Cricetulus griseus: one gene and its partner. The protein of the gene in region 2 interacts with the protein of the main gene of each other region in a biochemical or structural test. Links are inferred from orthologs where the notes say so. Each region holds a gene or a part of one and is shown on either strand. Other genes may lie near its edges.

Region 1 (3,817 bases), on a different chromosome or scaffold from region 2:
CTTTCAATTCAAACGAGCAAGGAAATCTTAAATAAAAGACACTTTAAATCTTAGGTCAAGCCTTTATTTCCAAACCACTACTAATGCTTGCATATGTGCTCAGATGTTTAGCAGCAAGACTGCTCACCTGTTGTTGTGGGGGTCGCTCGAAATGTTCCTGACACCATTTCACCCAAACTGGAGGAAGAGTTTCCACTCGATTTCCTAGACCATGGAAACAAACTTAAGACTCTCGCCCCAGATCCTTTGAAAACAGAAACTGAGAATCCAAGGTGTTCTTTGGCCTTCTACTAAATAATTCAAAACATACCAAAGCTTGTTAGAAGAGCTTCGGGAATCTGCTCAAATGATTTCGCTGACCTCATTTCTCAGAGAAAGTGGAGATCTAACTGAGACTTGGAAATGCTTGGCAAATTCTCTTTCCCTGTTATTTGTGCAAAAATTGGGCAGAAGGACCCCTGGCAAGGATGCAATGTGGAGATATGTGTTTACCTGAATTCAAGTACTGAAGTACCAGTCAGAGGCCAGACAGCTCAATACAAGCAAGAGGACCTGGAGAAATGCTTCTTAAGTGTATGGGGTCGGGGATGTCCCACAAACTTTTCCTGCTATCAACAGTAATGGGGCTATCAATAGTAAGTCATGTATGTTTATAGCCCAATGATGAGCAGTTCTGTCACTTACTGCCTGTGGAAAATACTGCAACACATCTTTGGGTGTTTGTTTTCCCCATCTATGGAAATAGGAGTTATCTATACCTTACAGAGAGAAGCTGACAAATTAGCTTCTGTGAATGAGCCCTTGGTATTATTGTTTCTCTTGCCTTGAAGTAAAAAAAAAAAAAAAAGTGTGTGTGTGTGTGTATAATAGCGACAATGGTGGGAGATTATTGAGACACTTTTTAGTAGGAGACAATCAAGGCAAACAAGAGAAATAGGTAAAAATCTAATTTTTCTGAGAGTAGTAAGTATAATAGAAACAATTTATTTGGAAAGAGATGGAAATGCAGGGAAAGGGTGAGTCTGGAGTGGATACAACTTAAAATACAGTGGGGAAGGAAGGAGTCACTGGAACGGCAATAAGCACCTGAAGGAGATGGAGTGATCTGGTAACAGCAAAGGAGGAAGAGGTACCCAGTAGGAGGAAGGAAATGCAAAGGCCCCCTGGAAGGGCCAAGTGTTCCTGATGTGCTAAGAAGCATAGAGAATGAAATGTCTAGGGCAAAGGGAACCAAAGGATTAATAATAAAACACCCTAACAGAAGATTAATCATTAGAATGGTGCTTAACTATACCTCTATGATCTTCCATTACTATTGAAAGGTTTTCATTAGGGAAGACTTAAATAGCACAACATTTTTTTTTATTTAGAAAAATTAACTGGAAAGAGAGATTGAATAAAAGGAAAGAACTGCTTCAGTCAGACATGGCGATGCACAGTTGTGATCCAGCACTAGGGTGTGGGGCTGGTGCAGAAGAATTGCCTCACCAAAGGGAAGCCTGAACTACATAGCGAGATTGTCTCACAGCAATAACATTAGCAAAACTTGCTAACACATTTGAAATCTGTGCTTCAGGGCAGGTAGCAGTACCACTGAGACCCAATGCAGTCAGGACTTCTCTCAAACTGCTCACCCTCCTGGGACCTGCCACTTGCGCTCTGAAGTCTGTGTGCTGTTTCCTTTGACCATGGGAGGCTGGTACATTGCAGCTCCCCAGTGTCTTCAGCACAGTGTCAGCAGAAGATGACGGCACAAGAAACCAAGTAAAGAAAAGTGTGCCCAGGACTGTCCCGCACCATCACATTCTGAGTTTATTGGACACAGCTTTTGACAGAGAACCAAGCAAAACCACAACACTTGGTCATGTCAGCTGCTACCTGAGCTGTCTTGAGAAATGAGGCCCCATGTAACTCTCACAGAAGAAAACTAGGGTTTGCAGATAGGTTTTCTGAGCCCACAGGAAGCAGCTGCCACTGTGGAATTCATGTGAATTTCTGAGTTGCTGGAGTTCAGAACACAATGGAACCCCAAACCTTTGTGTCCTCCTCAAGAACAGTATGTGTGCAGTTAAGTGTCCCTTTGCTTTAAAAGTAGGCTCTCATTGGGGTGAAGGCAAAGAGAGTCTTCAAGAGCATGTTTCCAAGATAAAATAGAATCCAGCTGAAAACAGAGGTTAAGTTAAAAGAATGAACTGCTTCAGCCAGTTTTTAATAAGAAACTTGAAATTTTACCCACAAAATAAAGTAAGGAAGAAGGGAGGGAGGGGGGCAAAAGGGGGAGGGAGGGAAGAAAAAAAGGCTAGCTCATGAAGAAGATGGGATGTTACCCGCCATGGAATCGGCCTCTTTTCTGTTCTTGCTGAATACGTATGTTCTCCAACCGAAGAGGACTTGGGATGAAGCCAATCTCGCAGCCCTCTTTCACCAGCCTTCCTATCCACCAATCATTGTTATATTTCTGAAAGCAGAGAGGAAAGCTGCTATCAATAGTAATTCAGTTAACCTCACGTCTCAGTGTTTATTTCAGGGAAGCAGAGGGATCAAATGCTAGTCACCTGATGTACGAAGCCACATTACACATACAGTGCATAGAAACCACCAACACCGTGCTTTTGTATTTTGTAGGAAATGTTTTCAGTTGATAGACTAAAGGAAGATTCTTCAGGGGTCTTATTTGCAATGGCCTGAATGGTAAATATGATCTCTACTGTAACTCGTGGATTCTGCTGTCCTACTATCACAAAGACTCAAGAGCATGGTTGTGTTTCAATGTAAGTGAGCTAACAGTCTGTCAGCACAGTCTTACTCAGATTATCAGCAAAATCACATTGGCAATTATTGATTTACTGAGTCCCAGGGCAGATGTCAGTTTAGTCTAAGCCATCTGCCTCAAGAGAATGTTTCTACTGGTAATTTCTAGAAAATAGATAGAAATCATATTGTTTAAGCCTTCCAGGAATGAGTACAAAGGTGCCTTCATGGTCTTTATCAGCATTGACAAGAAACTCTTTTCCTCTGTGTGTGTGTGTGTGTGTGTGTGTGTGTGTGTGTGTGTGTGTGTGTGTGTGTGATGTAACATACCAACTCTAGGATTAGCACAGAGGAAAGTGGAATTTACATTAACTCTAATACTGACATTGTAACAAGGAAGAACGAAAGCTTCATTGAATCATCACGGCATGAAATTCTAAGTAATTCGGATAATCCCAAGTAACCTTCTCATATTCAGCCCTTTCTGCACAGAGCCCCTGCAGAAGCCAACCTTTGTGCCCATCTTGAGACTGAGCTGAAAGGAGCATGAGTTGATGTGACAGAGAGACTCCAACAATCTGACTCTTAGTTTCCTGTCTTTAATTCAGGATAATACACCTGAAATAACAGTCCTGCTTATTTTGTAATTAAGAAAAGGCAAGTGGACCCTTTTGGACACTTTGGTGCGTAGGTTTGGAGTTTACATTTTACTGTGACAGGGACAACAGACTATGAATCAGAGTTTCCTAGGGCTTCAGTTATTTCCTGAAATTAAGTCAGCCTACTGGGGCACTAATTTGTTAAGTTGTACCCCGGTGAACTTAAGGGCTGCTGCCTAAGATGGCTAATTCGACTTCCCAAAGGGGTTTACTGTGGTTCTAAGAAACAGCTATGGAACACCGAGCCTCTGACTCAATGTGAGTGACAGTTCTCTGGCCACTGGGGAGTGAGGTGCTGTGCAAAGTCATGAGCTTCAGTTCTCTCTGTTTGACTTTGGAACAAGCACCATTGTGTCTTTTCTTGACCTTTAAGCCTTTCCATTATTGAGAAAACAGAAAGTGTGCTG
Region 2 (3,817 bases):
CTTCAGGGTCTTCCATAAGCACTACAAAATGTTATGAGAAGGATAAGAAAACGTGGCTACTGGTCGGGTATACTGTCACAGACGATACCTCCCCTTATGTCTGAGAGATCAGATTCCCATGACCACCCTCAAGTAAGCAAAGGGCTGGCAAAATGACAGTTGCAGGTGCTGAGTCCCCAGTGCTTCACACGCCCTACAGCCCATGTGAGCCGTTGGAGGTGACTTATTTAATTCTAGCAACGACTCAGTCATTTCTAGGTAGTTACATCCTCAGGGGAGAACACTGATGTCAAGAGTGCACCGGTTCAAGAGTAAGCAGCAAACAATGAAAAAGCTGTAGGAATCTCGTGGGGACTACGGGCTCTCCTTAGGTCTGTTTGTGTAAGACGACAGATGGCAGGGTCCTAGACTTTTTTTTTTTTTTTTTTTTCCGAGATAGGGTTTCTCTGTGTAGCTTTGGAGCCTATCCTGGCACTCGCTCTGGAGACCAGGCTGGCCTCGAACTCACAGAGATCCGCCTGCCTCTGCTTCCCAAGTGCTGGGATTAAAGGCGTGCGCCACCAACGCCCGGCTCCTAGACTTTTTGTATATAACGCTGAGATGGGGTATATAGTTCCTTGGTGGAGTCCCTGCTTAGAATCCTGCAGTAAAGGGCTCAGGGCGTGGCTCAGCAGTAGAGGGCTGGCCTAGAGTTCCCTGGTGCGGAGCTAGGTGTGGCTCAGTGATAGAGTGCCAGGCTAGAATTCCTCTGTGACAGGATGGCTCTGCTGCAGAGAGCCATCCTAAAATCCTCCAGTGAGGGGCGTGACTCTTACACAGAATATGAGGCCCTGGGTTCATTCTAGCCCTGAACTGCATCTGTTTCCCCATCTGCTAACCCGGCTGTGGCCACTGGGGGTACATCCCCGAATCTTACAGGATGCTGGGCCTAGTGACTGTCACCCTAAGCTACTAGGGAAACTCTTCGGCCCGGAGAGAGTTGAAGGCCCACCTGGGCACCCAGATCCCTCCCGGAGCCCACTCACTTCCTGCGCCGGTGCCTGCGCTCCCTGTCGTCGTGAGCGGGCGGCCCGTGTCGATGTCGCCGCCTGCGTTCTCCATCATCGCCGTCGCCGTCTGCAGCGCGGGCTGGCCTGGCGGCTTCGCGGGGACGCGGCCTGCGCTCCGGCCTGTCTTCGGGTTCGTCCCCGGGCCGGCGGCGCGCGCGATGGCGTCGAGGCTCCCCGTCGGCCACAGGCCGGTGCGTGTGGCGGCGGGGCGCGTCCCCGGCCTTGGCGCGCTCGGTGTCCGCGTCCCAGGGCGCGTGCTCGCGGGGCGGCACGTGCTCGCGCTGCTGCGGCTCGCTCTCGCGGCCGTACGGGCCTTCCCGGCCAGGGGCGCGCTCAGGGCTCCCTGTCCAGGCGCGCCGTGCGTCGGGGTCGCGCGCGCTCTCGCGGGGCCGCGCGGTCGTGCGCAGCGCGTCGGGCGCGCGGCTCTTGTTGGTGTTGTTGTTGCGGTTCTCCTGCGGGTCCACCACGAGCGGCCGGTCCAGGTGCGTCTTGACGTCCGGCCGCAGCGGGCGCGCGTAGGCGGTGGGCCAGCGCTCAGCCGCGTCCCCGTACAGCGCCTCGCGGCTGGCCAGCAGGTTCTGCTTGCGCATCTCGCTGGTGCGCTGCTCCCACACCGATTTGGCGGGCTTCTGGTTCTTCTGCTGCTCCTTCCTGCAAAGCACGAAGTGGGCTGCATGCTGTACCGTGCGGCCGTGTCGGATAACAAGGGCTGCGACCCTCACCCCCGTGGGTTCGTTCAACATTTATTACATTGATGTGTTTGTATGTGGGTGTTCCCTGTTCGGTTCTCTTCTTTCTCTGTGTGAGCTCCTAGGGACTGAATTCAGGTCTTTACCAGCGGAGCCATCTTACTGACCTTTCCATTTGGATTGCTGATTAGGTCAGTTTCCCACATCCGCTTCCCTTCAGGGATGTGGCTCTGAATGAGGGTGTTTGAGAACCTTCCTTTAATGAAGACAGTTTCCCTGTTACTGCCTCTGATCCACAGAGAAATAAATGTCTGCCCTTCCTTTAGGTATGACTTGAAACCAGCGGCACCCACCACCCTACCCTGCTCAGTCCTCATCACATTGGCATGGGCAGCCCAGGATCTTGAATCTGATCTTCAGGCCCGCATAACCATCCCCACCCCAAGGCTGTCATCCCCAAGAACAACCAGAGGGCGCCTGCGAGCATTCAAATCTGGTCTAGACACTCCACTGCTCAAGAGCCCTCTCTGGCTCTCACTTAATTAGGAGCCCAAACCCCTGAAACCAGAGCCCGAGTTTTCTAGATGGCCTCCAAGGCCTTGCCTACTCTGTTCTTACATCACATCTGTCTCCTCACCCCTTTCCCAGCCATGCTAGTGTCTTCCCTATTCCTGAAACACCCCGCCTCAGAGCCTTCCTTCCCTCTCTTGCTGGCTCTCTCATCTCCTTTGAGCTCTGTTAGGCTGAGGCCCTGCCTAACACGGTTGTTTGTCTTCTGGAGACAGGATGTTACTAAGCCTAGTCTGGATCCAGCTGTCCTTGAACTCATACAGACCCGTTCCTGCCTCCAGAGTGAGGTGTATGCCACCACACCTGGCTATAAAGTCACAACTTTGGGGGCTGGAGTGAAGCTCAGTGGCAGAGCACTGGCCTGGGATGCACACACAGGGCACAGAACAGCAGTGCAGCCCAGATTCCCCTCCCTGCCCCTTCCCAGCTGCTCCTTGGAGGCTCCACAGTGAGTCATTTATTCACCTGTCCTGCTCACTTATCATCTCCTGCACTCAAACAGCTACACACAGGTGTCCCGAACCCCAACAAGGATGCTTCTTTCCCAGCAATTACAACAGGACCAGGTGCATAGTAGATGTTCATTAAATACCCAGTGACAGTGGGTGACAGGACAAAGGCACCTCCCAGGCTCAGCATTTAGGGGCCACCTTAACCCTCCCCACATCCTTGCCTGAACGGCACCAGAGGCTTGGGGACACTTACACAGCTATAGACATGTTGGCCGCAGACAGGGGACTCACTTCTGCTACCTCCTTGGCTTTCTGTAGTGCCAGTTTCTGGTTGGCTGCCTCCTCCTCCTCTTGTTCATCCTAGGAAGCAAATGGGATTCATGTTCACAAGAACAAGCCTGGGGGCTCACTTCCCACTTTGCTGCCAGCCAGGGGCAAAATCTGAAGTACTGAGAACCAAGTTTGGCCTGGGCCTTAACCAGTTGGAACTAAGGTCCCTAGTCAGACTGGGTGGTGAAATGTATTGCCACCCCCTTGTGTGTGGGCTGGCTCACTAGCTTATTAACCCTTTAAGCCCAGGCTGGCCTTGAACTTGAGATCATCCTGGGCCAGCCTCCCCAGTGCTGGGATAATAGTCATATGCAAGCATGCCTGGCTCCCTCTACATCTGTCCCCCCAATTCCTTTTTTGGTGCTGGGGATGAACCCCAAGGCTTTGTGACAGCTAGAAAGGGGCTGTTACTGGGCTGCACCCCTAGTCCTGTGTCTGATCTATCATCAGCCTGTGGGAAGATGAGGGGAGAGGGCTGGGCTCTGTGCTTCAGTCCATTTCCTAGATGGTTGGGGAGTCAGAAAAACCATCAAAGGCTGGGCATGCTGGCCAAGCCTTTAATCCAGCAATTATGAGGCAGAGGCTGGTAGATTTCTATAAGATCAAGACCAACCTGGTCTACAGAACTAGTTCTAGAACAGCCAGGGTTATAAAGTGAGATCCTGTCTCAAGGGGAAAAAAAAGAAGAAAAATCCACCAATGGAAAGACAGAGAGAAAACAAGTAAG

The links.
Region 1: the proteins of Cacna1a (region 2) and Cacnb4 form a complex in vitro, tested with the Homo sapiens proteins (2 studies listed by BioGRID). The link is inferred for Cricetulus griseus from reciprocal best matches to the Homo sapiens genes CACNA1A and CACNB4.

What each region holds. Positions count from the first base shown.
Region 1 is NC_048599.1:121,898,924-121,902,740, reverse strand, and holds part of Cacnb4 (voltage-dependent L-type calcium channel subunit beta-4), read right to left. Parts: intron 2,478-3,817; coding exon 2,328-2,477; intron 205-2,327; coding exon 128-204; exon of another isoform or gene 1-127. UniProt on the Homo sapiens protein: The beta subunit of voltage-dependent calcium channels contributes to the function of the calcium channel by increasing peak calcium current, shifting the voltage dependencies of activation and inactivation, modulating G protein inhibition and controlling the alpha-1 subunit membrane targeting.
Region 2 is NC_048596.1:159,831,204-159,835,020, forward strand, and holds part of Cacna1a (voltage-dependent P/Q-type calcium channel subunit alpha-1A), read right to left. Parts: intron 3,121-3,817; coding exon 3,014-3,120; intron 1,701-3,013; coding exon 1,026-1,700; intron 1-1,025.